Oryzias latipes: one gene and its partners. The protein of the gene in region 1 purifies or fractionates together with the protein of each later gene. This does not show direct contact. Links are inferred from orthologs where the notes say so. Each region holds a gene or a part of one and is shown in the gene's direction. Other genes may lie near its edges.

Region 1 (4,194 bases):
TTTGTTAAACGTACAAAAAGAAACCACATTTACGTAGAAGAAATAATTATTTCCCTGTTTTCTTTCCAGAACTAGTAACATTACTTAAACCTCACAAGAAATGCATTCAATAGTCTTTTCATGTTTCTTATTGCTAACAAAACTCCAGAGGAGGACACAAGTGCAGACCTGTTCATTTTATTTCATTTTAAGTAGGGGTGTAACAATTAAACGACTCGATGAATTAATTTTTATTCGTACGATCCAACCAGATTGATCTATCTGAGGCAAGTTGTTTATCGAATCAAATCAATCTATACTATAAAGTCATTTAAAAATGAAAGAAATTGATTATTAATATTTGAAAATCACATTTTGATTGGTTAGTTTGTGTTACTATATTGTAAAAATGACCAAGTGCAATCACAGCGGACAACACACATGATGTCAGCAAAAAATGATCCAGCATTGTTTCTACACCCCTCTTCAAGAATATTGGTGATACAAATATTGTGTGGACCTGTCTGTGTGCGAAAGTCTTGTGGGATAAATCTTCCATCATGAATGTAGGAATATACTTCCAATCTGTAAATAGATGTGCAGAGAATTTGTTGATGTGTGAACTAAGTCATGCAATTTACTTATGACACTCGTATGTTTTGACCTTGTATTATCTAACCCCTCATCCCCTGTCTCCAACATCCCACTCTATTTCTTTCTTTCTTTCTTGTTTTCTTCCGTCTGATTCAACATAGATCGCATACAAAAATAATTATCATAAATAATGCTTATAGCCTCAAATACAAAAAAGGGGTTTTATACAAATCTACACTCTGTTTGTTGTTTGTCTGAAGATCCATAAACCCCTATTGTAACAGTAAAATCTGTCCAACAAGAGATCTTCAGTTCTGATCTGCTAGCTCAGCTGTTGGTCAAGTTAAAATAAAAAAAGATCAGTCCGTCAATATGATCCAATGTGTGGAAACAAAACACAGACATGTGACCAAACAGTGTGCTAGAATGTTCTAATAATGTTCTGTTTGTATTATTTTGATGTGATTTTGATGAAAACTTCCCCTGCACTGTTCAGTATTTATGTCTTAAGCCACACTGGTTGAAGGTTTGCCCAAAGATGTCCTGGATCAACTTTAGGTTAGTCAGTTAATCAGATCAAATTGGATCATTCAAAATGAACCAATATCGAAAGTGAATCGGATCAGCAACCACAAAATATGTGAATCGTTGTTATAGTGAAATGTCACATCGCTTATTTTAGGGCAAATTAAAAAATATTGTACTGTTGTAAATGTTGCATTTTTATATTATATTCTGAAAATGTTCAATAAAAAAGCTATATAAATAAAAGAGGTTGCACTTTTAACTCCTGGTCTGTAGGGGCAGCAGTGTGCTGTGAGCCTTTCCTCACCGGAAGTTTCACTAGCGCTGCCCCAGTCTATGTCCGGTTCTGCGCCTTCATTGCAGCAGCTGCAAATCTTAATTCTTCTCGTTTGTTTTATATTTTCGGAATCAAAACGTCTTACACGATGAGGTAAGCATATATTTATTCATTTTATTGGCGTCGGTGGTTGAACACGCTGCTCTTGTTGTTGTATTTTGATTTGTGTCCAGCCTGTAGCCGCGTTAGCATAATAACCTGTAAGTTAAGCAGCGTTTCCCTCATGTGTTTCAACTCTTTTTTTTTTTAGTTTAGGAGCCAATTCTGTGAATAAATTCACGCGTTTTCGTACACAGTTTTGTTTTTAGGCTATTTATATACTTATTTGTGTGAATTAATGTCAATAATCATTCTTCGTGCAGACCACTAGCTCCCATCAGATTATGTGTGTATGTCACTATGTGGCCTAATCATTTTTGTTTTATCATCTGTTCCCTTTCTGTGCAGAGGAGACCGCGGAAGAGGCCGGGGAGGGCGCTTCGGAGCCCGCGGAGGCCTGGTCCAGGGGTTAGTGTCTGTTTCCCAAACATTTTCAGAAAACAAAGTCTGATCGGTTCGTGTTGGCAAGCTTTTCTGCCCCCTACATTTTCCTTTCAACAACCCTCTGAGCCAGCTTGCTGATTACTTATATGTCTCTAGTCTGTCAGAAACTGGACACCTAATTCTTGAGGATCAGAATCAAGATGAACGGGGCTAGCTGGAGTAGAGGACCATGATGCTAGGATTGTTGTAACCTAAGAACACTCAGGATAAAAAAAAATCTAATATTCTAAATAGATTGATGACTAAAGATGCCCCCCCCCCCCCGACCTGTAACTTTGAAAAACCAACAGCAGTGTTGCCCATGTTACGAAAGTATTGCCTAAAGTATTAAATCACTTATTCAAATAATTAAATTGTGGCATTCCAGTCATTTCCATGGCCACAGACGCATAAAATGAGTTCTTCTGCAAACATCTTAAGGGATGTTGCCATCCCAGGAGATCAGTGAATTCCAGTTGTCAGAAGCTGTTCTCACCCCTTCCAGTTCAAGTGAAAGGAAGTCTGAATGCTGTAGGACACCAAGAGATTTAAAAATTTAGAAATGTTGCTTCCTGGTAGCACCATGACTGTGCACCACTGCTAGAAGCAGGCCCATAAAGACATGGATGAAGATGATGTGGAGTACAAATGGATTATAACTTATGATCATGCGTGTAAAGTCAAATGAGTGGCTACTTTTGCCATATAGCATGTGTCTGATGTAACAGTGAGAAGGTTTGAGCTTAAAGTGAGTAGTTAAAATCTCCACTTTATGCACTTTAAATCTTGGGATATAAATGTTTACATATGAACGTATGCTTAATTTAATCATTTTTTATGCAGGTACCGCCCGTTTGTCCCACACATCCCGTTTGACTTCTACGTGGTGAGAACAAGTGAACATAGCTGGAATATCGATGCAGAATAAGTGTGAGTCTTGACTTTCACTCCTTTCTTCCACCAGTGCGAGATGGCCTTCCCCAGAGTGAAGCCTGCTTCTGATGAGACGACCTTCAGCGAGTGTCTCCTGAAGAGAAACCAGGACCTGAGCCCCACGCCAGCAGAGCAGGTCTGACTCGGACTCGCCCAGGAACTTTCATCATCATCATCATATGTGCTTCTAACACATTTTGTTCCCTTTTTTTTTTTTTTTATAATAGTCCTCTATCTTGTCGTTGGTCACAAAGATCAACAACGTCATTGACAACCTTATTGTTGCTCCTGGAAACTTTGAAGTGGTGAGTTGCTCCACTAAAGAACCTTTGGTCCCATTTGAAGAACCTTTGGTCCACAGACTAAAGCAGCTTCAATGAACATGTAGATACATTTTTAACAATGAGGTGAAATATGAGGGATACTGCCGGTACATTTTTATTTTAGGCAAAACCAGACTGATTGAAGTATCTTTAATTCAATCACAGCCTTCTGTCACAATCCATGACCCACAACAATGAATAATTGTTTTTTTTGTGCCTCTTGACAGCAAATTGAAGAAGTCCGTCAGGTGGGTTCCTATAAGAAGGGAACCATGACTACTGGGCACAATGTTGCAGACCTTGTAGTCATCCTGAAGATCCTCCCAACATGTAGGTCATGAGTTTCTCATCCGGATGTTGTCAGATTCTTTTGTCTGATCGACTGTATGAGAATGGTTCATATATGTTGTTGATGCATCAAACATCCCAGTGCATCAGCACCGAATCTGAATTTCTCCTTAAATATTTTTTTTCAAACTTGAATGATGTTTTTTAGTCACATTTAATGGTTGTGAAAAATTGTGTCTTTATGTCCAAATATAATTTTGTTCTTTTTAGTGGAGGCTGTTGCTGCTCTTGGCAACAAGGTTGTGGAAACTCTCCGCACCCAGGACCCTACTGAAGGTAAATCACAGAGATCTCCTTCAATGAGTTAAAGCATCAACGTGATTTACAAGTTTACCCTAAAAATTGCTTCTGAAAATTTATTAAAGCTATTGTAAGATTTGCAGGAACTTTTTTTAAAGCATAAAAAATAATTTAAGTCCTACATCAATCATCTTTTGATCTATTGTAAAATCGTTCCCAGTGGTCTTTTAATTATGGTTATAGAATTTTTAGCCAAAATTCTAAAAACCTGCTGTTTTCTAGGACATTTTCTGCAGAGCGGCAATAGTTCATCTGAAACTCGCCTCTAACTTGTGGGTGGGGCGCGGAAGTAAACCTCCGCTTATTTCCTATCGTCACTTTTGTCCACACGCT
Region 2 (4,293 bases), on another chromosome or scaffold:
TGCAAAGTGAAATTAGTGCTTATGTACCAAAAACAGTCAAATTTGAACAGTAAAACAACAGCTAAAAATATTTACATTTTAAAGAACACAAATTTGGAATTAGAAAGTGTCATTTTGATAATCATTTAATCTATAGTAAAAGTGTTCCCAGTGATCTTTTAATTATGATTATGCTGTTTTTAGCCTAAATCAAAAAACCTGTGTTGTTTTTCTAGAACATAGTTTCTGCAGACCACCAGTAGTTTTTCAGAAATTCACCTCTGAGTTGTGGACAGAACTGATGAAGTCTTCCCTCATTTCCAGTCATCCATTTGTTACATGCTCTCCCACTAGCTTACAGCCCCTCGCAACCCAACCTAACGTCAGGTTGCAACAACAATGGCAGGCAATATTGGAGCTATCCAGCAGTACAGTTTTAAGCCAGATGCCAGCTCAGACGAGGAAAAGAAAGACGTACACAGATCTAGCCGTCTACAGGTTCATGCGTCAGAATGGAGCAGAGCAGGAAGCTTGTGGCCAGACAACTGTAGCATCAGAGCTACAAGCTTTTTTAGACTGGATTTCTTTTCTATTCCTGATTCACAACTTTGAATAAAGAAATACTCAGAACTGAATTTTCTTTATATATGTCCTCCATCATTAGAAAATTCATTCATCTTCCTCTGTTTATCCCTTTTGGAGTCACGGGGCTGCTGTAGCCTATCCCGGCCACTTATGGGCGAAGGCAGGGGACTCCCTGGACAGGTCGCCAGTCTGTCGCTGGGTCACACATTTCACACACCCACATTCACACCTATGGACAATTTAGAGTGACCTATGAAGCATGTTTTTGGATGGTGGGTGGAAGCTGGAGTCACCGGAGAAAACCCACACATGCACGGGGAGAACATGCAAACTCCACACAGAAAGGTCCCCCATTGATGTTCTGTTTCAGGTCCCCCAGCCGGACTTGAACCAGGGGCCTTCTTGCTGTGAGGCAAGAGCGCTAAACACTACACCACAGTGCAGCCCATCATCATTGGAAAATGCTTAAAGAAAATTTTAAAAACACATAAAAGAAAAGCATGCTTTTCAATGGAGTGGGTCTTTGATAAGAAAAGTTGGGAGATAAAATTCAATAATTCTGCTGCCATGCACAGTGGTGGAAGTGTAGTCATGAGGTGACTAAGTACCAACATTCCAAAGAGAGTTCATAATAAAAGACCAAAGCTGCAAAGGAAATTTCCATTGAAACTGGTATTAAATTTCAACATTAACTGTAGTTTGTCCCGTTTTGTTGCTGAGGCCCAAATTAAGCTGTCATTTAAAAAAGGAAACTTTTTTTCTCTTTTTTAGCAAATAAGTGGACAATATTTCTCTGCAATAATGTATAATGTGTTTGTAAGATAAGTATAGATGTTTTCTTGTGTGACAGTAGCAGATGGCAGGTTTACCAGAAGAGGGAAAAAACCCGCTGCGCCATTTATTCAGTGATTACGGTAGGAGAGAGGCCGTCCTCCTCCCCTCCCCACTCAACCGCCGTTTCAGCGCAGCTCTCCGCCGGCGAAGACTTCTCGGACAGCGGGTGCTATTTTGGCGCAGTTTCCTGTCTATAGGCGTTCAGTTATTTATTTATCGTCGATTTTTTAAAAACTGTTTGTACTCTTGCATTCAAAATGAGCACAATTAACGTGAAAAAGCTGAAAGTGAACGAGCTGAAAGACGAGCTGAAGAAGCGTAATCTGTCGGACAAGGGGCTGAAGGCCGAGCTGATGGACCGCCTGCAGGCCGCGCTCGACGAGGAGGCCCTGGTCGGGGATTCTTCTGCGGCCCAGGAGGGATCGGAGGAGGAAACCCTCGAACAGGCCGCCGAACAGGAGGTGATGGGAGAGGAAGAGGAAGGCGACGGCCCGATAGAAGAGAGCATGGAGGCTAATGAGGAAGAACAGGATAATGATAATGGGGACGAGGGCAATGGCGTAGCGGATGACGAAGACATGGGTGAGGGGGAAGAAGGCGACGAAGACGACGAGATGCTGAAGGGAGATGTGGACGACATGGAAAAAATTGACACGGAGGATGGTGAGCCCGGGGAGCAAGCTGCTGAGGGTGAGTCTGGTGAAGTGATGCTGAAAAGGTGGCTGGCTGAATGGACTGTGGCTGGCTGTTTTTTTTTTTCGGGGGCTGGTTGCGAAGATTTTAGCGCGTTACCAAGGAGCGTCCATGTTGAACACGGCGGCGTGATTCAAGCTAGTTAGCATTAGCAGCTAGCATCGGTCACCTCCTCTTAGTTAATCGTTTTGTAACTCTAATTACGCGTTACCATATTCTCTCAGGCACGTTTTAAAGAGTCGTTTCAAAAACACAATTTAAAGTTTAGTAATAGTTTTAATTAAATTTATATGCCGAGAACCGTCCTTTTTGGTTGACCTTTAAGCTTTTTCTTTCGATTTTGTAAGGTGTGTTAGCTTGTCAGCTAGCGCGATTTCCTTTGTTTCTGGTGTAGTGCTAACAAGCTAATTTAGCAGGGTTAGCCATTTCAGATTTTCCCTTCCTGTTAAGACATAAAGGGGGAATTTGCAAGCCACAAATCTTGTATCTTACTGTCATTTGTACAATCTCACTGGAATTACTTTTGAAACATTTCATTTCCCAGTCTGCACAAATAAAATAAACAGGAGAATATCTGCGATGGCTAACCCCAAATTTAAATAGTGGTAGCTCAGCTGGTTCTGCTGCTTTTGTTTAGCTAGTTTTTTTTGTCGTGGTTTTTCTGTTTAATAAAGGTTCCAAAATCATACAGTGTAACAAATGGGGAGGTAGTTTAAAACCATATCTAAATAGCCTTACTTGCATGATTTATTTATCCCCCTTAAACAGTAAACTTTCCCTTATAAGTTAATCAAACCCCATTGACAATGGTGTATTTTTCAGACTTTTATTTCGCCCCCACAAAGCATCACTCATTTATTTTATAATTTTTGGCCAGTTTATTGTTTAACTACCTGGTCTTAAAAGCTGTCATAACCATTTGATTGTACTGTATTTTCAGTGTAAGTATAGTGCTGCCTCTTTGAACATTCATATGAATTATGATGGACACAATGTAACTAATGAACGGGCTTTGTGGGCCAGAACCCCACTGCTAGTCCGACCTCTCTCTCTGTCTCAAAAAGGAGCACCTCATTCTATATCTTTGTTCTATTTTCAAAGGGGATGCGGACAAAGACACGAATGCTGATCAGAAGAATAAGAAGGGTGTTAAGAGACGCCGGGAGGAACATGGAAGGGGCTACTTTGAATTTATTGAAGAGAACAAATACAGCTGGTAAGGATGGGACAGAGCAAAATGGCCTTCAGCATCCCTGAAGCGCCATCCATAGCTTTGTTGGATTGTATTGGCTTTAAGTGCCAATGCACACATTTCTAGCAAGAGGAAAACCCTCTGTTTTTTTGTTTAAAATAAAAAGTATTCTCTTATTTAATAACTTTCACACATGTGTTTTCAGGGTCATCCCTGACTACCTAAAGAGCCTTACCATTTACTCTACAATGCCCACTCACATAGCGTCTTTAATGGACTGCATTCTGTAGCAGAAGTGCATCTGTGACTTTTCACATCTGTTCCTCATGCCACTTATTGTTTTGTTTCTTTTGGAAAAGCCCGTTGTGTCCTTAAGGTGAATGGAGGCTACTCTAAGCAAAACCCACAGAGGGAAATAGCAGGTGTACACTTTTTCAAAAGGAGGGGTGGGTTGAGGAAAGTAGCCGAGGGGTCTGAAAGAAAGTAGCACACAAGGATTTAGGAGATTTAAAGAAAAAAATCAAGATTATTGGAGCGTCCACGGAGGAGCTTCGGTAGTGATCGTCCATGTTTTTTCGGAGTGTTCTGCCTTTTTGTTGTTGTTTTCTCTCTATCACACTCTTGTTGCTGTTTCTGTATCATGTTTGTGTAAAATGTCATGTTGTGTGCGTTTGGAAGAGTTTTTATACCCCGCGTTCTGTGACCTCATGCATGGCTTGCAAGGGAGTTCCAGTGTGAGTGTGAACATGAACTTACTTTTTTTGGTCACGTGTGTTGTTTTCATTGCACTACCTGGACGCTGAAGATCGATGGGCACAGCATCAAAAATGTTGGCTGTTTTATTTATTTTTAAATTGTGATCACTTATTTCTGGTTGTGTTAATCCAGGAAAGTCACTTCCTGCTTCTCCAAATTGTCCACTTGACGTTTTTAGGGATTTATCAGTTTAATCTTTGCCCATATTTTCCCTTCTAAACAACATAACCTGCTTTCAAAATAATCTAAAATAA
Region 3 (4,067 bases), about 11 Mb from region 1:
CAAAAGTAAAGTAGCTGACACAAAGTATGCAAACTTCTTAATTGTTGTGTGTTTGGAGCAAGTTCTTTAGGTTTTACAGAAGTTTATGGTAAAACAAAACTCCTCATACCTCCAGCAATCAAAAACAATTTTAAATGTACCTCAGGAATCGACTTAATTAGTTTATTTGTACCTTTTAGTTGGCCACTATTGCAAAAACTAATTTCTTTAGCTGTTGTAGCATACTTGAATAGATCGTACACTTAAAATGTTCCAATTTAGTCTGAATAAGTATGCAGTTAGTATACTCTACGCTACACTACATGATGGTAGCAAGTATAGTAGCCTATACTTATGCTCAAGCACACAATGAAATAAACTTCAACTGAGCTACTTTATGTTAAGAGGTTTCCAATAACTTTTTTTGTTTTGTTTATAACAAGTAGAAAATTTGGTTGGAACTAGATTAAAAGATGACTTTTTTCACTACCAACAGGTTTGGATTCTGTCTGACGTGGACGTAAAAGTTTAACCCCTGCTTATAATTTACTTAAGATCCTATTGACAGTTGTGTAATGTTGCAGTCATGTATTGCACACGTGATTGAGCTGGGCTATGCGTTACATAGGTCGCTCGGGACATACTACCAGTAGTAGAGGAGACCCCTCCCTCTTTAGTAAATCCATGCCAGACAAGATTCGCCATGTGCGTTTGCGCCACATGGCTGGGGGTTGTGCACAGATGCCTAAACATATGAAAGTAAAAAGCAGAAAAATCAGATTTCACATTAAAGTATACGATCTTAAATGTTCAATTTATGTAAACACGAGAAAAAAATGGCCCCCTGTTGGACTTTGAGCCGTGGATCAGACTCAGAGAAGCATGGCTCTACGCCTGCTAGAGAAGATGGACGCCGTCATCAGGTTGTCATTTCCACTTGAGTGCGAGGGTCCGAAGAGTGCGCGCGGGGTTCTGCCAACGCTCCACACATACCTGCAATTAAATACATCCGATATGCAATTTAACAATACAGTGTAACATTATTTATGAATGGCCACACCCCCTTCTCCCTCAACTGTGTCATCAGTTTAGGGCACGGCGCACCCGCGCGGACGAGCACCAGCAATTTTCTGTCTCCCTGCTATGGAGTGCGCGTGAACGCGCAGTCGATTTAATGTTCCCCTGTTGACCAATGACAATCAAAGTTTTGCAGAGAAAGGCAACGATTGTGAATCCAGTTAAGATGCACTACTTTCTCATGGAATCCCTTTACGCACAAGATTTTCCCAACACCAATCCACTCTTCCCCTCCTTTTTTCTTCACTCCCCATTGCTGTCCCCACCCCAGATTCCCGTGCAATTTCCCCCAAATACTTAATTGAGCAATTGGGAATCCTCACGTGTGGGCTGATTTGTAGTTTGAACACGTGGCTCATTCAAAAAAGCCGGAATAGCAGAGTTTTTTTTTTTCCTCCTCCTTTCTTCTTATTCTGGGCTGTAGACTTAGAGGCGGGCGCCAGCCTCACCGTGTGTGACATTCTCTGTCTCTTTGCCAAGGGGTTTGGAAGAAGACACAAAGTAGTTTCTCCTCCTTTTCTCCCGGCCCGCCAACGTTTGGAGATTAATAATTGAGCGTTTATTTATTGCGCGACAGAGAGCGAACGCACACCTAGGCTGCCAGTTTAAATTCTGAGGCTTGAACGACCGGGAAGCACGCCACAGCCGCTCAGTCCGTAGTAGTAACGGCGACGCGGGCTACTCCACGCACACCGCACTTGCACATCCACGGGAGTAGGTAACTGACTCTCCCTCCGCGTAAAGATTGTCCCCTCTCGGCGTGGAACATGAATAAGCTTTACATTGGCAACGTGAGCGCAGAGGCGAGCGAGGAGGACTTCGAAAGTATCTTTGAGCAGTGGAAGATTCCGCACAGTGGTCCGTTTCTGGTCAAAAGTGGCTATGCGTTTGTGGATTGCCCGGACGAGAAGGCAGCGATGAAGGCCATCGATGTTCTTTCAGGTGAGACATTTTCAACAAATTCACAAAGAGCCTCCATTTAGGATCGTCTTACTTCGTTCATTGCCCCCAGAAATGCATGCATGCATGCACGAAGGGCGGGGGTGCCTTTTTTCTTCTATCACACAACCTTTACGTGGCCTTTAGACTCCAGGGGTTTAAACATATGGGTTTAGGTGGAAAGTCTTTTGGCTTTCCTTGATTTTAAAAAGCAGAAGTAAACAAAACGACATGAATACAATGGCTTCGTGTGGCGTTCAGGGCAGCTGGGGCGCAGACGCCTTGAGAAGTGGACCTTGTTGGAGGTTCACTGACAGCGGTGTGTTTCTACCTTTCCACCCACGAAGTTTCAGTTTCCCCGGGTTTCAAAACACGGGCCCTCCGTCTGCGTGGTGAAGCCATGTTGCTGACACACCAGGTGGTTTAATTGTGTTGGTCAAATGTAGGCCAACTGAATGAAGCCAACAAACACGTTTGGTTCTTCTTTCACTTGTTTTCTCGTAAAATATGCCTTTAACGCACAGGTTCAGGTGACCTCAAATAGATTGTAGATGGGAATTGCTGTCGTCTTTATGCGTTTAGCTTAATGGAGAAAATACGCTCATGTTTTTTTTTGAGAGAGAAACTTCCCATAAAGAGTGAATTTTCTACCGGAAGGTCAGGATGTTTCTGAAGTTGCTTTTTTGTGTTTTAGGTAAAGTTGAACTCCACGGGAAACTTCTGGAAGTGGAGCATTCTGTCCCTAAGCGTCAAAGGTAGGTTTAAATCATATTTTGCCTTTTTTTTTTTAAATAAAAAAAATCCAAAATGGCAGTTTCAGTTTTTATTTGGTTCCCAGCATAGTAAATTCAGTGCATTGTTCAATTTTTTATTTTGCGTAAAATAGTATTTCCTCTCCCTGAAAGCTCAGGGGTCAAACACAAGGGGCGTGTGGAGGATTACTGTACTCCCTTCTCTCCGCTTTGCTCCTAAACCGTTGTGCTTTTGGCTTTCACATGCTCTCTTTTGGCTCTCCTGTTTACACATCCACCCTTGTTTTCGCATGTAGTGCCCAATATATGAGCTCCAAGCTCATGGCGGCTTGTAACCCTCTCAGAGCGCACGGCGAAAGGAGCAAACGTGAACGCAGGCTGGATTTGTGGCGTGCAGGCCTTGTGGAGTCGTCCATTTGAGAAGGATCTGCCCGTCATTCTCCCTGTCTGCCCTGCGCTTTCGCCCTCTTCAGCATGTTGTGCTGCTGTTTGCATGAGATGGACTCCTCAAATCGCGGGTGGAATGGGAGGCTTAGGGCCCAACTCGCGAAATGTCTGTGTGAGAGGTGGAGCGTTTTCAGGCTTTCAAAAAACAAACAAACAAAAAATCTTTAGTGCTCCACCAAATCTGGACGTGTGGTGCGTATTCCTGGTGTTGGCGTAATTCTGCTTGCATTGATGTCGAATTGGGGTTAAAACTATTAGATCCAAATTTAACATATTTTATTTGTACTAAGTTGAATCACGAAGCATGTTTGCGTGTTTACACCTAAAATATATCCCTTTTTTTAAACTAAAAAAATATCAATGAGTCTGTTTTTATAGAATTTCCCTTTAAAGGTTAAATAAAGACAAACTATTGGTTAAATTGTATACCAAGAGGTTTTTATGGAATAGCTTTTAAAAAGATCACAAAGACAAAACCACACACATTGTTTGACACAGCTTTTAATAAGAAAATAGAGAGGGGAAGGATTTGATTCTTGAATTTAATGTTTTGTATATTCAGGTTGTTTTATAGTGGGGGGGGGGTTTCAGCCACACTGGGGCTGGAGTAAATTGAGCTCCCCCTCTCTCTGTAGAACATGGAACATAATCATACTCAATGAAAAAAGAGGGAACCCACACCCTTGTAAGCTTGGGGGGCACTCTTTTTGCATTACAGCCTGTATATTTCAACAGGAGGGTTGGCCAATCAGCATTGCTTAACCTTTGAACTCCACAGGAAGAGGAAGTGCTGCAGCAGTCAGGAATCAAAATAGGGTGGGGACATTTAGAAAAAAAAAAAAAAGAAAATAAAAAAAACTTGGAGGAATGAGC
Region 4 (3,348 bases), on another chromosome or scaffold:
GGACCTCAGGCTCATGATGGACCCCCTAAGCAGCCTTAACAGGGGTTATGCTTTTGTTACATTCTGCGCTAAAGAAGCAGCACAAGAGGCGGTCAAACTGGTGAGTTCATGGAGTTATTTTCAGACAAAAACTTTCATTTTCAAATTAAAATGGGCCGAACGGCCTGTTCCTGACCGTCATCCTGAAATGCCTTTTTACAGTGTAATAACTACGAGATCCGCCCCGGAAAGCACATCGGTGCGTGTATATCTGTCGCCAACAACAGGCTGTTCGTTGGCTCTATTCCCAAAAGTAAAACAAAGGAGCAGATTGTTGAAGAGTTTTCAAAAGTCACAGGTACGACCGGGGTTCCTGTCGGTACTTGAAGAACTTTCCTTAAATATAAATCTTGTGATTTATTTTGTTCTGAATCTTCTTTGTGTCCAGACGGCCTGAACGATGTGATCCTGTACCATCAGCCCGACGACAAAAAGAAGAACAGAGGCTTTTGTTTCCTGGAGTTTGAAGACCATAAAACAGCCGCTCAGGCACGGCGCAGGCTAATGAGTGGGAAGGTCAAGGTCTGGGGCATCCTGGTCACAGTGGAATGGGCTGATCCCATCGAGGATCCCGACCCAGAGGTCATGGCCAAGGTGAGCATCACCCTTTGAAAACCTGATGCTGAACTGAGAAACCCAATGCATGGAAACGCCTGCAGGCCTGTTCCTTTGCCCCCTTGGGGAAGGATGGGTTTGTTTGAATGTTATCTGGCCAAAGCGGTACTCTTCAAAAAGTGTTACTGCATGACAGAGTACTTAAAATGCTTAATGTCCTTATTTTTAACAGTCTGCAGTGCACCTCTGTTTTCACACACACAAGGAAACATATTTTACCTCTCATCGCCACGGCAACAGACTTTTTTCAGAGCAGTGCACATTATCCGTCGGGTAACTGTATTAGGATCTTCTGCTGTGAAGTACAGACAAAGCTGCGCTCGCTAGAGTAAAGCTCCACCCCCACAGCCTCACGCCTTCTCATAGGAGCCGCCCACAATCACTGGAAAGGCAATATTATTGGCTAGAGTTCAGTAAGACTGGAGAGTGATACGTGATATGAACGAAGCCCAGAAATCTGTTTTTAATGGTTCTGGTAATGCGGCACACGTTGGTACAAGGATGTCCTGACAGAAGGAAGCTGCACAGGTCTGATGGGAAAAGCGTTTCTCTATCTGTGTTGCAGGTGAAGGTTTTATTTGTGAGGAATCTCGCCAACAGCGTTACGGAGGAGATTCTTGAGAAGTCTTTCAGTGCGTTTGGAAAGCTGGAGCGAGTGAAGAAGCTGAAGGACTATGCCTTCATTCACTTTGAGGAGCGGGAAGGTGCAGTGAAGGTACACACTTTCATTCAGAACCAGAGCATTCTTTCTAAAAAACAACACAAAAGAATGGACCTAAAACTGACCAAACCTTCATTTAGGCCTTGGATGAAATGAACGGGAAAGAACTGGAGGGAGAGCCAATCGAGATCGTCTTTGCCAAACCGCCGGATCAGAAAAGAAAAGAACGCAAGGCTCAAAGGCAGGCAGCCAAAACACAAATGTATGAGCTGTTAAATCAGCAGGAAAGCCTTCCTCCTCCACAAATACTGACTTTATGCTTCTGATTTTTTTTCCTTTCTGTCAGATATGATGATTACTACTATTACCCTCCTGCTCCCCACGCGCCCCCTGCAAGAGGCCGGGGCCGAGGAGGCAACCGGGGTGGATACGGCTACCCCTCCGACTACTACAGCTATGATGACTACTATGACTACTACGGCTATGACTATCACAACTACCGCGGCGGCTACGAAGACCCCTATTACGGCTACGAAGACTTCCAGTCCCCGAGCCGAGGGCGCGGCAGCAGCAGGGGCGCCCGTGGCGGAACTTCACCGGCTCGAGGACGCGGCAGCGCCGGCGCGCCGAGGGGCAGGCCCAGCTTCCCCCCGCATGGAGGGCCTGGACCGAGCCGCGGAGGGCGGGGAGCGAGAGGAGGCGTGCAGCCGAGAGGGCGAGGAGGGGTACGTGGTGTTCGGGGTGGCCGCGGTGGAAATGTAGGAGGAAAGCGCAAAGCTGATGGGTACAACCAGCCAGATTCCAAGCGTCGCCAGACCAATAATCAGAACTGGGGCTCTCAACCCATTGCTCAGCAACCCCTCCAAGGTGGTGATCATGCTGGTAACTATTTTGGTTACAAATCTGACAACCAGGAGTTTTATCAGGATTCTTTTGGGCAACAGTGGAAGTAAACCAGTAAGGCTTTCATAAAAGGAAAGAATTTATCCTTTCTGCCTTGTTTTTTCTCATTTAGAGACTTGATCTAATTGGCCCTCTATTCCATTTTGTTGCCAGCTTTATTTTTTTGTTTTTTCCACTCAAAAGTTAGTGACACCTGGCAGGATATCTTTATGTATATATTTTATCGATCCGCTTGGACTCGATCTAGTCACTCTCACCTGCTTCTGGCAAACTGCATTTTTTTCCTTTGTTGTTTTTGTTTTTTTAAGGTGGTCGTAAAAGATTCTTCAAATCCAACTTTTCCAACATTTTTAGATGCGAAATGTGCTGAAGCTGTCTATTTGGCTGTAGCTTAATGTATGTTTTATAGAAATTCTGATTTTAATGTTTTAACTAGTTAAAATAAAAAAGCTACCAAGCTTCTGTCTCCTAAAAATGTATTTAATAAGAGTGAAATTACAATTTGTATTGTAAAAGTAATGCGTGTCTTGTTATTGAAAAGAAAAAAAAAAAAGGACAACCGTAGTCCTCATTTTTGGGCTTTACATTTTGGCTTGTATTCTTTGCTGTTTGTCTGCTTTAATAAACATACACGCACACGTGTACAAAAACTTCAAATTGTGTCGCAAATTCATGTTTCGGCAAATTCTCTTTTCAAATTTTCTTCAAATTTAAGGCTCCATGTGGAAGAAGGTGGACTGAAGGTTTGCCATTGTTGGCCATATGCTACAGTGTCACCTTGCATGCCATCCAGTTCCAAGTCACCTTCTGTAGTCGGCATCTCAGAGCTCTGTCTGTGTAGTGGCGTACCTCATGTCCCAAAACATCTCACTAATTGGTGTCCCAAATTCACTGTCAACGCAGCGACGTCAGAACGGCCTGGGGGGGGGGGGGGGGGGGGGCACAAAAGCACAATTGGATTGTAGCCTCAGACTGAAGCTTTTCCTGGTCCCAGAAGGAACTTTGCTGTTCACAGCGTGGAAACTAAACCTGCATGTTTATCTCCAGGTTTGGCGCCGGACTTGTGTTGGGAAGCAGCGCTTTGCATGCCTCCTCCCTGTAGATCTGATTTATGCCCTCATTCCTGCTTC
Region 5 (3,053 bases), on another chromosome or scaffold:
CAGGGAATGCACATGGGGGGTCAAGGAGGAACAAATGTCAACATGAGCCCCATGGCTCAGTTGCAGCAGGTCCAGCAGCAGCAGCAGCAGCAGCTTCAGCAGTTGCAGCAGCAGCAGTTGCAGCAGCAGCAGAGGCCAATGCTCAGTGGGTTACAGCAGCAGCAGGTTGCAGCTCTCCAGCAGCAGCAACAACAGCAGCAGCAGCAGCAAGGCGTGGGTCGAGGAATGCCGGGTCAGGGGCCCCAGATGGGAAACCTGAACGGAGCCCAGTTTAGAGAGTTGCTGATGAGAAAGCAGCTACAGCAGCAGCAACAACAACAACAACAGCTGCAGCAACAACAGCTGCAGCAGCAACAACAGCAGCAACAGCTGCAGCAGCAGCAGCAACAACAACAGCAGCAGCAGCACCAACAACAGCAGCAGCACATGGGAGTAAACCACAGTCAGTTCCAACAGCCACAGCCCCCCCAGGGGCAGGGCTTCATAGGGCAGCAGGGCATGCAGCCTCCAGCAGTGGGGCAGGGGCCTCCTGGGGGGCCACCCCTTCAGCAGCCCGGTGGACAGCCGGGTCAGCAGGCACCAAGTTACCCCGGATCAGTCGCTCAGCAGCAGGCCACGGTTGCACTGCAGCAGAGACTGCAGCACCAGCACCACCTCCAGATGCAGCAGCAACAGAACGCCATGGGGGGTGATGTAGGGCCAGGTGGAGGGAGTATCAGTGGTCCGCAGCAAGCACCCCAAGTCCCTCAACCCACCCAAATTGGACCCCCACCTTCAACCGCTCAAGCCCGGCTTCAACAGACTCTGCACCAAAGGATGTTCCATCAGCAGCAGCAGCAGCAGCAGCATCTCGGCCCGGGAGGGTCACCGGCCCAGCACACCAACCCCATGAGCCCCCAGCAGCCTCAACAGGTGAACCAGTCCCCCCACCCGCACCTGCAGGGACAGGGCATGTCCACATCTCTGGCCAACCAGGTCCGGTCCCCACAGCCCTCACCCAGACCTCAGTCCCAGCCGCCTCACTCCAGCCCGTCCCCACGCATGCAGCCACACCCCTCCCCGCTTCACATCTCCCCCCAGATGCAGACGGGCTCTCCTCATCCCAACCACCTGAACCAGCACCATCCAGGAATGATGGCACCTCAACAACCACAACCGCCAGCAGCCCAGCAGAACGCCATGGAGCCGTTCGGCTCGGATGAGATGCTGTCCCAGCTGAGCAGCATGGCTGGTCTGCACGGGCCAGGCGGCAGCGGTCAGGACCCAATGGGCCCCAACATCGGCCACAGCTCCTTAGACCACATGTAGGGTGGTCGTCAGCGTGTGGAGCGGAGCGGAGCGGCAGTGGAAATCCGCACAAACTGCACTCACCCAGGACAGTGTTATTGTTATTACTAAGCTTTTTTTAAACTATTATTAAATGTTATTTAAAATGTTTTCAATAAAGATGCATTGAACTGAACTTCCTATGGGAGATGAACATGAAATCAAGCAGTCGTTAAATGAATGAAAATGAATTGTAACTTATTGCTGTTAAATGTTTTCTTTGCCAATTAGGGATGGGGGGGGGGGGGTCTTTCACATATCATCCCACAAGTCACCCCGTGTACTGCAGAGGAAAGTTGATTCTATTTTTTTGAGGGGGGGTATGTGAAAAAAGTACTTGCCTTTTGAAAAACTGTTCTGTTTTTATAGGTTTTTAAAGTCCAAAATTATGATTTAATGCAAATATCTTTATATCAGTTGAGCTCCTTTTTTTATTTTATTCTTTGGGGCCTTTTTTTGTTTTTGTTTACGCTTCACCTCAAATCCAAACATGATGCTTTTTTTTTTCTTTCCTTTTTCTAATGTTTGGGTTTTATTTATTCTTTTCCTTCTGGGGGTGGGCGTCTAGGAGACTGCTACAGTTCCTACAGAAATATATTTTTGGTATTGACTGTTAAGATGGGGGGGGGGTTAGTATATGTTATTTCACTTTAGATGTCTTGAGTTGGGAGTGATGTCAGTGTTTGATTGCAGTGCGCTCTGCGCCGGAAGGGCGGCGGCGGACACATCTTTGGAAGCCCTCTCCAACATGCAAGCCCCCTCCCTCGAATGTGTGTGCACTCCTTCCTGTTAAAGACACTTCAAATGGAGCTGTAGAGCTTTGGGGAGGGGGGGTGCATACCTTTGTGCCTGTAACATTTTAAATACCTGGGGTGGGGCGGGCTTGTTCTAGTGTTTTTAGGATTCTGCTGTTTTCTGTAAACAGAGGATGATGATGATGATGATCCAAATGAACTGTGTTGCACAGAAACGAGGAGAAAGAAGGAGACCCCCCCCCACACACACAAATACACCCGACTCGGTCTCTTTCTCCCTCGTCCCCTTTGCTGCTTCCCTCAACTTTATATCCTCCTCTGGGGGGGACGTGGAGCTCCTTCTTTACAAACTCCATCCTCTTTATCTTTCTGCTCAGAACTTTGGGAGTTTAATTTAATATTTTTTACTGTACAAAGGAAACAAACTGGACTCGAATACTGTTTTTATAATAAAACAAAAATTACCAATTTGGTTGTGTCTTCTAAGGATATTTCTTCAAAAGATGCACTTCCTGCTTCTACCTTAGATTTAGAATGAAGTTTTTTGTTTACAAACAAAACAAAGGTAACAGCCTGCCATGCAGTAATGCAATGAGTTTCCAAACTCTTAGAAAACCAAAGTATGCGTTTGGTTTCTGTTCAGCAAAATGCAAAAAAACAAACAAACCTGACTTTCAGCACTGAAAATGCTGAAAGTTGCTTTTTTTCTCCAAAACATTTTTCTTTTATTCTGAATAATTACAAAGGAAAGAAGGAAGCTGGACACAAATATTAAAATGTCAAAATTGGAATAATGGATTTAAGGTGTTCAAACACCCCAAAGCCCGCTATCAGACCGCTCTGCTTTCCGTAAATCTTCAGCTTTAAATCGCTTGGAGTAATACTCCCTCTAGCGGCCGTAGATGTTATTGCGACCTGATATGTGTTCAACGGAGTTCGAGAAGGGTCAAAAAAGATTTCGTTTATTCTGAC
Region 6 (4,117 bases), about 15 Mb from region 1:
GGAAAAGCCACTGCATGCTGGGATCCTATGATGTGCCCTTTGTTCCAGCTTGGTGAGTTGGGCGGAGGAGCAGGGAAAGGTGGAGGTGGAGGAGGCTCTGTGAGGCAGGCAGGAGGTGCTTTTGGAAAGCGAGCGGTGGTGGAGGAGGAGCGGTACTTCAGGTAAGAAATGAAACAGGTTTTCGAGGAAAACTTCATGCCAGCGTTTCCCTTTTTGACAAGTATGGTTTTTGTCTGCAGAAAGAAGGAGATGGAGCTGCTGGAGGTGCTGAGGAGGCATCATTCGGAAGAGATTGAGCACCATAAGAAGGAAATAGAGCGTCTGCAAAAGGAGATCGACCGCCACGTTGGCAAGATTAGAAAACTGAAACATGACGATTGAAGTTTGCGCTCACAACTCTGATAGAAAGGGTGGCAACGTTGAAAACAATGTAAAGATAATTGACTATCTGCTCATTTTGGCAGTTAATGAAGCAAACGATTATCTTTTATATACGTTCCAAAATAAAATGATTGATTTTCTGTTGGTTTATGTTGATTTTCATTTCCCCTGTTTATGCCATCTCAAAATTTAGGGTTCCCGGTTACACCTGGACTCATTTTTTGTTTTTATTTTAAGCCTGTTATGGTGATGATATGGAGAGGTTGTGAACACTTCTGATGGCACAGCTGGAGATACCTGGTCTTATGTGATCTCAGCTGCTAAGCAAAGTCAGATCTGGATAGTCTTTGGATTGTTCTGTAAAGGTACCACAAGCTTATGGGGATGGATACGCTCCATCAGACCAAGAAGGGCATTTGCTGCAAAACTGAAGCCAAAACTTTCACAAAGGTCTGTCATTTCAGGCCTTAGCTCTGTCTGAGGGATTTACCCATTTAAGAAATTCACTCAGACCTTGTAAATACTTTCCTACCTCACTAAACCAAACAGGACAAATGAATAAACCAAATGAAACGAGGAATAATTATTACATGGATTAAATCACATTTTTAAAAGGGCAATATTTCAACTTTAATCGAAATTTACAATCAAACACCCCATCATTTAATCATAAAATAAATTACTAGTACTGGAAAAAATGTAAATATGTTGGTTTCTAAGTTATGGTGAGGAGATTGATTACACTTGTAAAAACAGTTTGATTTCCTTGTAGCCTCTGGAAATTTACACAATTTTAAAGCGGATATTACAAAACATAAAATTGAGAAAAATAAAAAATATTACAGAAAGTCATGTTTCCATTTTGAAGACCCAATGACACGAGCTAGATTTGCAAACCAACGTTGTACCGCAGACTCTCACATCTCGCGATGTTTCCCTCAGTGGCGTTGTTCGGGCGAGCCGAGACGAGACCGCTGCCGTCTGGAAAAAATTTGTCGTGTGGTAGACCTGAACATTCTTGGCATTTAGCATTTTCCCAACGCCCGAAAAAACAAGTGTTTCATATTTTTTCAAACATTTTCCAGCTAGTTTTCTAAATCATCCTGGTAAGTCTTGCTAACTACCCGTTTGTGCCTTTTACGGCGCGCGCGTGTAAAGGTGTCTGGGCTGCACGGCGAGGCCTTCGTGTTAGCCCGTTAGCTAGCTAGGACGTATTCTTGTGTACTGCTAAAATCAACACACATGGACTTTAATACTTCATTTAAACGAGTGGAACTTTTTGGATCTCATTGATGACTGTTTTTTTCTTAAGCTTTTAGAACATTTTGGGCCACGTAGTATTATAAATGAAAGATGTTAGCTATCGATCAGGCGCCATGTGAAGGGGGCGGTACTGTGGAATAAGCCTTTTAAAATGTATGAGCGGGTCGTTTTATTTTGAAAATCAGTAATAAATAACATTGTTTTTTATAATAATACTGACATTTAACGTAACGTTTTCGTTTAAAAAATCTTTGAGTTAAAAGCCAGATATTCCGTAATTTGATAGCTTGTTTCTGGTATGTCAAGTTGACAGTAAATGAAGTAATAAACTAAAACTGTTTTTATTCATGTCTATCTAACAGGAGAATGGCTTCCGCTGAGGTGAATGGTAGTTCGGCCCCAGTAAAGGAAGAAGAGGAGCCTATGGATGTGACTACAACTACAACTCACACTGAAAACTACCAGACCCTCATTGATGCAGGGCTTCCCCAGAAAGTGGCTGAAAATCTAGACAACATTTTCCAAACAGGTGGCTGGTTGTTGTTACCTTCAAAGCTCCAATGTGTTTGTTGTTGATGTGTTCAGTTTAGCTCACTTTGTCATGATGTTTAGGCCTGGTAGCGTATGCAGATCTGGATGAAAGGGCCATTGATGCTCTACGGGAGTTCAATGAGGAGGGAGCTCTAACAGTCCTGCAGCAGTTTAAGGAGAGCGATCTGTCCCATGTGCAGGTATTACACTCAATTATGTGCTCATCAGTACTTTTTTAAACAGTTTTCTAAAGTATCATTTGGTCTGTTTAATTGCAGAATAAAAGTGCGTTTCTTTGTGGAGTTATGAAGACGTATAGGCAGAGAGAAAAACAAGGCAGTAAGGTACAAGAGTCCACTAAAGGCCCAGATGAGGCAAAAATAAAGGTAAACGCTCTTGATTTGCAGTTTTTTTGGGCTAAGTTGAAATGCCAAAATGTTCTCTCAGTTACAAAGCTTTTCCCATTTTTTGATTGTTTACTTTCCAAGGCTCTCTTGGAGCGAACAGGATACACCCTAGATGTCACCACGGGACAAAGAAAGTATGGAGGCCCCCCACCTGAGGAGATGTTCAAAGGCACACATCCAGGGATTGGAACAGAGGTGGGGATTATTTAAAGAAGCATGATTACACATCCTGTTCGTTAAAGATCCACTCCGACCATCTTTTGATCTATTTTCAAAGTGTTCTCACTGGTCTTTTCATATCATTTGAAAAACAATCAAAAACCTGTGCAGTTTTCTAGATTATAGTTTCCGCAGAGCGACAGGAGTTCAGTAGAAATTCACCTGAGTGGACCGTTGCCGTGAAGCGCCCCCGCCCCCCTTTTCCCTTTGCAGAGCAGAGATGACAAATACAATCTTTTTAAATTTGTCTGCTCCTGATTTACATAGATTTGAATAAAGAAATACCCAAAAAATACAAATTTGAGCTAAATTTTCTTCCTCTATTTCAACAGGAAAACGCCACAAGATCAGTTTAAAATCGTTCACATACGCATGCTAAAACGAAATATATATACACACACATATATATATATATATATATATATATATATATATATATATATATATATATATATATATATATATATATATATATATATATAAAGCAGGTAAATAAGAAAGTTGAAAATAAATATGGATAGTTGAATTAGAAGGGAAATTGTTTTAATTTTATATAGAATTGTCATTTTTTTCATGATTGATTTAGTTTTTGTGTTTTGTCTTTCTTTCAGGTGTTTGTAGGAAAAATCCCCAGAGATTTGTATGAAGACGAGCTTGTGCCCCTGTTTGAGTCTGCAGGTCCCATCTGGGACCTGAGGTTAATGATGGACCCCCTTTCTGGTCAAAACAGAGGATACGCTTTCATCACATACTGCAACAAGGACGATGCCCAAAAGGCCGTCAAGCTTGTAAGTCCATTTTAAAATCTCATGGATCCCGTTGGATATAAAAGAAAGTGATTTTGTGGAAGAATAGTTTGAGCAAATGTGTGTTTTCTTCTACTGTGTTTCATTACTTTTCAAGTATTTGCTGTTTTTTGTTTTTTTGTTTTTAGTGTGATAACCACGAAATCCGCCCTGGCAAGTATTTGGGAGTTTGTATATCTGTTGCAAACAACCGGCTGTTTGTTGGATCAATTCCCAAAAACAAGACGAGGGAAAGTATACTGGAAGACTTCGGCAAGGTTACAGGTCTGTTTCAAGTCAATGATTGTATTTGGAGAAACCCTTTCAGTCGGTTGTCTGTCGCTGACGAGTGATGCGGTTTTTCTTTGCAGAGGGTCTTCAGGATGTGATTTTGTACCACCAGCCAGACGATAAGAAGAAGAACCGTGGCTTCTGCTTTCTGGAGTACGAGGACCACAAGTCTGCAGCACAAGCTCGGCGGCGTCTAATGAGTGGGAAGGTGAAGGTTTGGGGCAACCCCGTCACCGTTGA
Region 7 (3,500 bases), on another chromosome or scaffold:
AACCTGCCCTTCCTCAAACCCGATGACATCCAATACTTTGACAAACTCCTGGTGAGTCTGGCAGGACGGGGGGGCTGCGGTGGGTGGGGGTCTTTTCTGTGGAGGTAACGGTCTGTGTCGATGTTAGGTGGAGGTGGACGAGTCGACGCTGAGCCCCGAAGAGCAGAAGGAAAGGAAGATCATGAAGCTGCTGCTGAAGATCAAAAACGGAACTCCGCCCATGAGAAAGGTTGGTGTTTGTGTTTGGGGGGGGCGGTGACGAGAGGAACCTTCTGCTGCAGACCTGCAGCCTCCATCCTGACTGTCACTTCAGTTCAGCTGAGGAGTTTTCAGGGTAAAAAGGCTGGCAGGTCCGATCCTGGGCTGCTTTCCTCTGACGAGCTGGTTTTGTGTAAAATGATCACATGCAGTTTTGGTAGAATGATGGACGTTTGTCCTCTAACTATTTCCTCTGCTGGGTTTCTCTGGCACCGCAGAGGAACCTCTGATCCTCATCTGCTGTCTTGATAGAGGTTGAACCTCCAGCTTCTCGTTGGCTCTTTCAGGCGGCTCTGCGTCAGATCACAGACAAAGCTCGGGAATTTGGAGCAGGGCCACTCTTTAACCAGATTCTGCCGCTGCTCATGTCCCCCACACTGGAGGACCAGGAGCGCCACCTGCTGGTCAAAGTCATCGATCGCATCCTGTACAAGCTGGACGACCTGGTGCGGCCGTACGTTCATAAGGTGGGTCCGGTTGAAGGTTTGTCTGCCGCGTCTTCAGCAGTGAACTGAAAGTCTTCTGTCCACTCAGATCCTGGTGGTGATCGAGCCCCTGCTCATCGATGAAGATTACTACGCCAGAGTGGAAGGGCGAGAGATCATCTCCAACCTGGCAAAGGTAAGGCCCTTCCTGTCAGTGCTCTGATGGCGAACTTTTCTCGCCTGTTTGACCGGTCCGTGGTCAGGACAGGGCTAGGCGTTCGCCAGAGTGACACCAGCATGAGAGCGTGCAGGCAGGGCGTGGATGCCCCGCCTGTTCTCACCCTGCACCCGCTGGTCACACCCACCTCTGTGTTTACATGCATGAGCTTCAACTTCTCTGATGCCTTTAGGCTGCAGGTTTGGCCACAATGATCTCCACCATGAGACCTGACATCGACAACATGGACGAGTACGTGAGAAACACCACGGCCCGAGCCTTCGCCGTGGTGGCCTCAGCACTGGGGATCCCCTCCCTCCTGCCCTTCCTCAAAGCTGTCTGCAAAAGCAAGAAGTCCTGGCAGGCCCGGCACACCGGCATCAAGATCGTGCAGCAGATCGCCATTCTCATGGGCTGCGCCATCCTGCCTCACCTGCGCAGCCTGGTGGAGATCATCGAGCACGGTCAGTCCTGCACGGCAGCTGTCAACACCCCAATGTAGCTGCCTTAAATCCAACTCAAGCCCCGCCCCCTTTGCAGGGACACGGTGCCTCTTTTTCTCTCTGGAACAGAAGCTTTTGGTGGAAAAATTGTTCATCTGTTTCAACAGGAGCTTTAACCAAAGCTGCACGTTTTCAGGGTGGAAGCATTTCTGCTAAAAACCTTTCTAGCGTCGGTCTCAGCATCTGGGTGGAGTCCACTTCACATGCTTCCAGGTTTTGCTGTGAAATGGTGAAACTTTCCTCAGCTGTGCTGGTAAATGATGAAAGTCCACCCTCCCTGCTGTTCCACGGCTACATTTTGGTGACGCTGCAGCTGCTGCTGTGTTCAGAACACAGACTGCTGGTTCCCTTTGGTGAACATCTCTACGGTTCCACTTTTAGAAGGCTGGGCAAAAGTTACAGTCAGTCCCACTTCAGCAAACAGAACAGTTTGGTCTGAAGAAGTGGAAGAGAAGTGGGATTCCCCCTTCAGAAGAGGAGTGTTCTGATACCGCGCAGACCTTCAGAGGGGCCTCCCCTGTTCTGGCAGATGCAGAGCGTGTCTGATAGGAAGGCAGCGTGGAGCCTCCACTCACCCGCCTGTGACCCGTTTCTGCTGCAGGTCTGGTGGACGAGCAGCAGAAGGTGAGGACCATCAGTGCCCTGGCTATTGCTGCCCTCGCTGAAGCCGCCACCCCCTATGGGATTGAGTCCTTCGACTCGGTGCTGAAGCCGCTGTGGAAGGGCATCAGGCAGCACAGAGGAAAGGTGAGCGCTTCTGCGTGGAGAGGGAACATCCTGTCGGCAAGATCACACCCAGCACTGGGCCTGAGCGTGGCCGCAGTGTGAATGTTTGCTTGCTATAGTGACTCTGAAGGAGCTTCTGCTGCCAGCTGAGGTCCACTGCAGGGCCAGTGTCTGCTGGAAGCAGAGGACAGAAGCACCGCCTCCAGACGCGTTCTAACTCTCCTCGCTCCACAGGGTCTGGCCGCGTTCCTCAAAGCCATCGGGTATCTGATCCCGCTGATGGATGCGGAGTATGCCAACTACTACACCAGAGAGGTGATGCTGATCCTCATCAGGGAGTTCCAGTCCCCCGATGAGGAAATGAAGAAGATCGTACTGAAGGTAGGTGGGGGTGCAGCGCTGGGTGCTTTCATCACGCTCTGATGGCGAACAGAACCTGAGCAGGCTCTTGTTTCCCGCCTCTTAGGTGGTGAAGCAGTGCTGTGGCACGGACGGCGTGGAAGCAAATTACATCAAGACCGAGATTTTGCCGCCGTTCTTCAAGCACTTCTGGCAGCACAGGATGGCTCTGGACAGACGCAACTACAGACAGGTGAGCAGACGGCGAGCAGCTGGGTGCCATGCAGACAAAGGTCATGATGCATGGAGACGCTCAGCATGAAGGGTCCTCATGACACGGCAACATGTTTCTGAAGAAACTGATTCCTGTATTTTTGTTCAAAACTAGTAACAGTTCCAGCTGCAGCCAGTAGGGGGCACTAACTGTTCTGTTGTCTCTGGTTCCAGCTGGTGGACACCACCGTGGAGCTGGCCAACAAAGTGGGGGCGGCAGAGATCATCTCGCGCATCGTGGATGATCTGAAGGACGAGGCGGAGCAGTACAGGAAGATGGTGATGGAGACCATCGAGAAGATCATGGGGAACCTGGGGGCAGCTGACATCGACCACAAGCTGGAGGAGCAGCTGATCGATGGCATCCTGTACGCCTTCCAGGAGCAGACCACAGAGGTAGGGGGCGGGCAGGCATGGATTCCTGCTTTATGGGGGGCTTTGGTTAACCTTCTGTCCGTGTGCAGGACTCTGTGATGCTGAACGGTTTTGGCACGGTGGTGAACGCGCTGGGCAAACGCGTGAAACCGTACCTGCCTCAGATCTGCGGTACAGTGCTGTGGCGCCTCAACAACAAGTCCGCCAAAGTGCGTCAGCAGGCGGCGGACCTGATCTCACGCACAGCGGTGGTCATGAAGACCTGTCAGGAGGTAGGTGACCCCGCCCCCGTAAACCTGCAGCTCAGGCCTGAGGCCTCACCCGCTCTGCTGTCCCTCTGCAGGAGAAGCTGATGGGCCATCTGGGGGTGGTGCTGTACGAGTA

The links.
Region 2: the proteins of ilf2 (region 1) and hnrnpu fractionate together in Homo sapiens (co-fractionation; 3 studies listed by BioGRID and IntAct, with this or other methods). This does not show direct contact. The link is inferred for Oryzias latipes from reciprocal best matches to the Homo sapiens genes ILF2 and HNRNPU.
Region 3: the proteins of ilf2 (region 1) and igf2bp3 purify together in Homo sapiens (affinity purification with mass spectrometry; 3 studies listed by BioGRID and IntAct, counting the BioPlex papers as one, with this or other methods). This does not show direct contact. The link is inferred for Oryzias latipes from reciprocal best matches to the Homo sapiens genes ILF2 and IGF2BP3.
Region 4: the proteins of ilf2 (region 1) and heterogeneous nuclear ribonucleoprotein Q fractionate together in Homo sapiens (co-fractionation; 3 studies listed by BioGRID and IntAct, with this or other methods). This does not show direct contact. The link is inferred for Oryzias latipes from reciprocal best matches to the Homo sapiens genes ILF2 and SYNCRIP.
Region 5: the proteins of ilf2 (region 1) and histone acetyltransferase p300 purify together in Homo sapiens (affinity purification with mass spectrometry; 4 studies listed by BioGRID and IntAct, with this or other methods). This does not show direct contact. The link is inferred for Oryzias latipes from reciprocal best matches to the Homo sapiens genes ILF2 and EP300.
Region 6: the proteins of ilf2 (region 1) and hnrnpr purify together in Homo sapiens (affinity purification with mass spectrometry; 3 studies listed by BioGRID and IntAct, counting the BioPlex papers as one, with this or other methods). This does not show direct contact. The link is inferred for Oryzias latipes from reciprocal best matches to the Homo sapiens genes ILF2 and HNRNPR.
Region 7: the proteins of ilf2 (region 1) and sf3b1 fractionate together in Homo sapiens (co-fractionation; 3 studies listed by BioGRID and IntAct, with this or other methods). This does not show direct contact. The link is inferred for Oryzias latipes from reciprocal best matches to the Homo sapiens genes ILF2 and SF3B1.

What each region holds. Positions count from the first base shown.
Region 1 is NC_019869.2:21,697,490-21,701,683, reverse strand, and holds the start of ilf2 (interleukin enhancer-binding factor 2), read left to right. Parts: upstream 1-1,394; 5' UTR 1,395-1,523; coding exon 1,524-1,528; intron 1,529-1,882; coding exon 1,883-1,942; intron 1,943-2,800; coding exon 2,801-2,843; intron 2,844-2,921; coding exon 2,922-3,026; intron 3,027-3,117; coding exon 3,118-3,195; intron 3,196-3,440; coding exon 3,441-3,543; intron 3,544-3,771; coding exon 3,772-3,837; intron 3,838-4,194. UniProt on the Homo sapiens protein: Chromatin-interacting protein that forms a stable heterodimer with interleukin enhancer-binding factor 3/ILF3 and plays a role in several biological processes including transcription, innate immunity or cell growth.
Region 2 is NC_019882.2:13,245,079-13,249,371, reverse strand, and holds the start of hnrnpu (heterogeneous nuclear ribonucleoprotein U), read left to right. Parts: upstream 1-1,493; 5' UTR 1,494-1,655; coding exon 1,656-2,088; intron 2,089-3,192; coding exon 3,193-3,307; intron 3,308-4,293. UniProt on the Homo sapiens protein: DNA- and RNA-binding protein involved in several cellular processes such as nuclear chromatin organization, telomere-length regulation, transcription, mRNA alternative splicing and stability, Xist-mediated transcriptional silencing and mitotic cell progression.
Region 3 is NC_019869.2:10,791,309-10,795,375, forward strand, and holds the start of igf2bp3 (insulin-like growth factor 2 mRNA-binding protein 3), read left to right. Parts: upstream 1-1,267; 5' UTR 1,268-1,823; coding exon 1,824-1,998; intron 1,999-2,689; coding exon 2,690-2,750; intron 2,751-4,067. UniProt on the Homo sapiens protein: RNA-binding factor that may recruit target transcripts to cytoplasmic protein-RNA complexes (mRNPs). This transcript 'caging' into mRNPs allows mRNA transport and transient storage.
Region 4 is NC_019882.2:1,562,544-1,565,891, reverse strand, and holds part of heterogeneous nuclear ribonucleoprotein Q, read left to right. Parts: coding exon 1-100; intron 101-201; coding exon 202-337; intron 338-427; coding exon 428-633; intron 634-1,219; coding exon 1,220-1,369; intron 1,370-1,455; coding exon 1,456-1,577; intron 1,578-1,661; coding exon 1,662-2,268; 3' UTR 2,269-3,348. UniProt on the Homo sapiens protein: Heterogenous nuclear ribonucleoprotein (hnRNP) implicated in mRNA processing mechanisms. Component of the CRD-mediated complex that promotes MYC mRNA stability.
Region 5 is NC_019866.2:19,344,869-19,347,921, reverse strand, and holds the end of histone acetyltransferase p300, read left to right. Parts: coding exon 1-1,308; 3' UTR 1,309-2,553; downstream 2,554-3,053. UniProt on the Homo sapiens protein: Functions as a histone acetyltransferase and regulates transcription via chromatin remodeling. Acetylates all four core histones in nucleosomes. Histone acetylation gives an epigenetic tag for transcriptional activation.
Region 6 is NC_019869.2:6,652,118-6,656,234, forward strand, and holds the start of hnrnpr (heterogeneous nuclear ribonucleoprotein R), read left to right. Parts: upstream 1-1,317; 5' UTR 1,318-1,487; intron 1,488-2,006; 5' UTR 2,007-2,010; coding exon 2,011-2,173; intron 2,174-2,256; coding exon 2,257-2,375; intron 2,376-2,453; coding exon 2,454-2,561; intron 2,562-2,663; coding exon 2,664-2,777; intron 2,778-3,412; coding exon 3,413-3,589; intron 3,590-3,735; coding exon 3,736-3,871; intron 3,872-3,957; coding exon 3,958-4,117. Other genes in the region: ATPase inhibitor A, mitochondrial, read left to right, coding at 49-161, 240-381. UniProt on the Homo sapiens protein: Component of ribonucleosomes, which are complexes of at least 20 other different heterogeneous nuclear ribonucleoproteins (hnRNP). hnRNP play an important role in processing of precursor mRNA in the nucleus.
Region 7 is NC_019879.2:174,679-178,178, reverse strand, and holds part of sf3b1 (splicing factor 3B subunit 1), read left to right. Parts: coding exon 1-51; intron 52-127; coding exon 128-229; intron 230-545; coding exon 546-725; intron 726-792; coding exon 793-879; intron 880-1,093; coding exon 1,094-1,364; intron 1,365-2,004; coding exon 2,005-2,150; intron 2,151-2,363; coding exon 2,364-2,510; intron 2,511-2,595; coding exon 2,596-2,721; intron 2,722-2,915; coding exon 2,916-3,137; intron 3,138-3,205; coding exon 3,206-3,388; intron 3,389-3,459; coding exon 3,460-3,500. UniProt on the Homo sapiens protein: Component of the 17S U2 SnRNP complex of the spliceosome, a large ribonucleoprotein complex that removes introns from transcribed pre-mRNAs.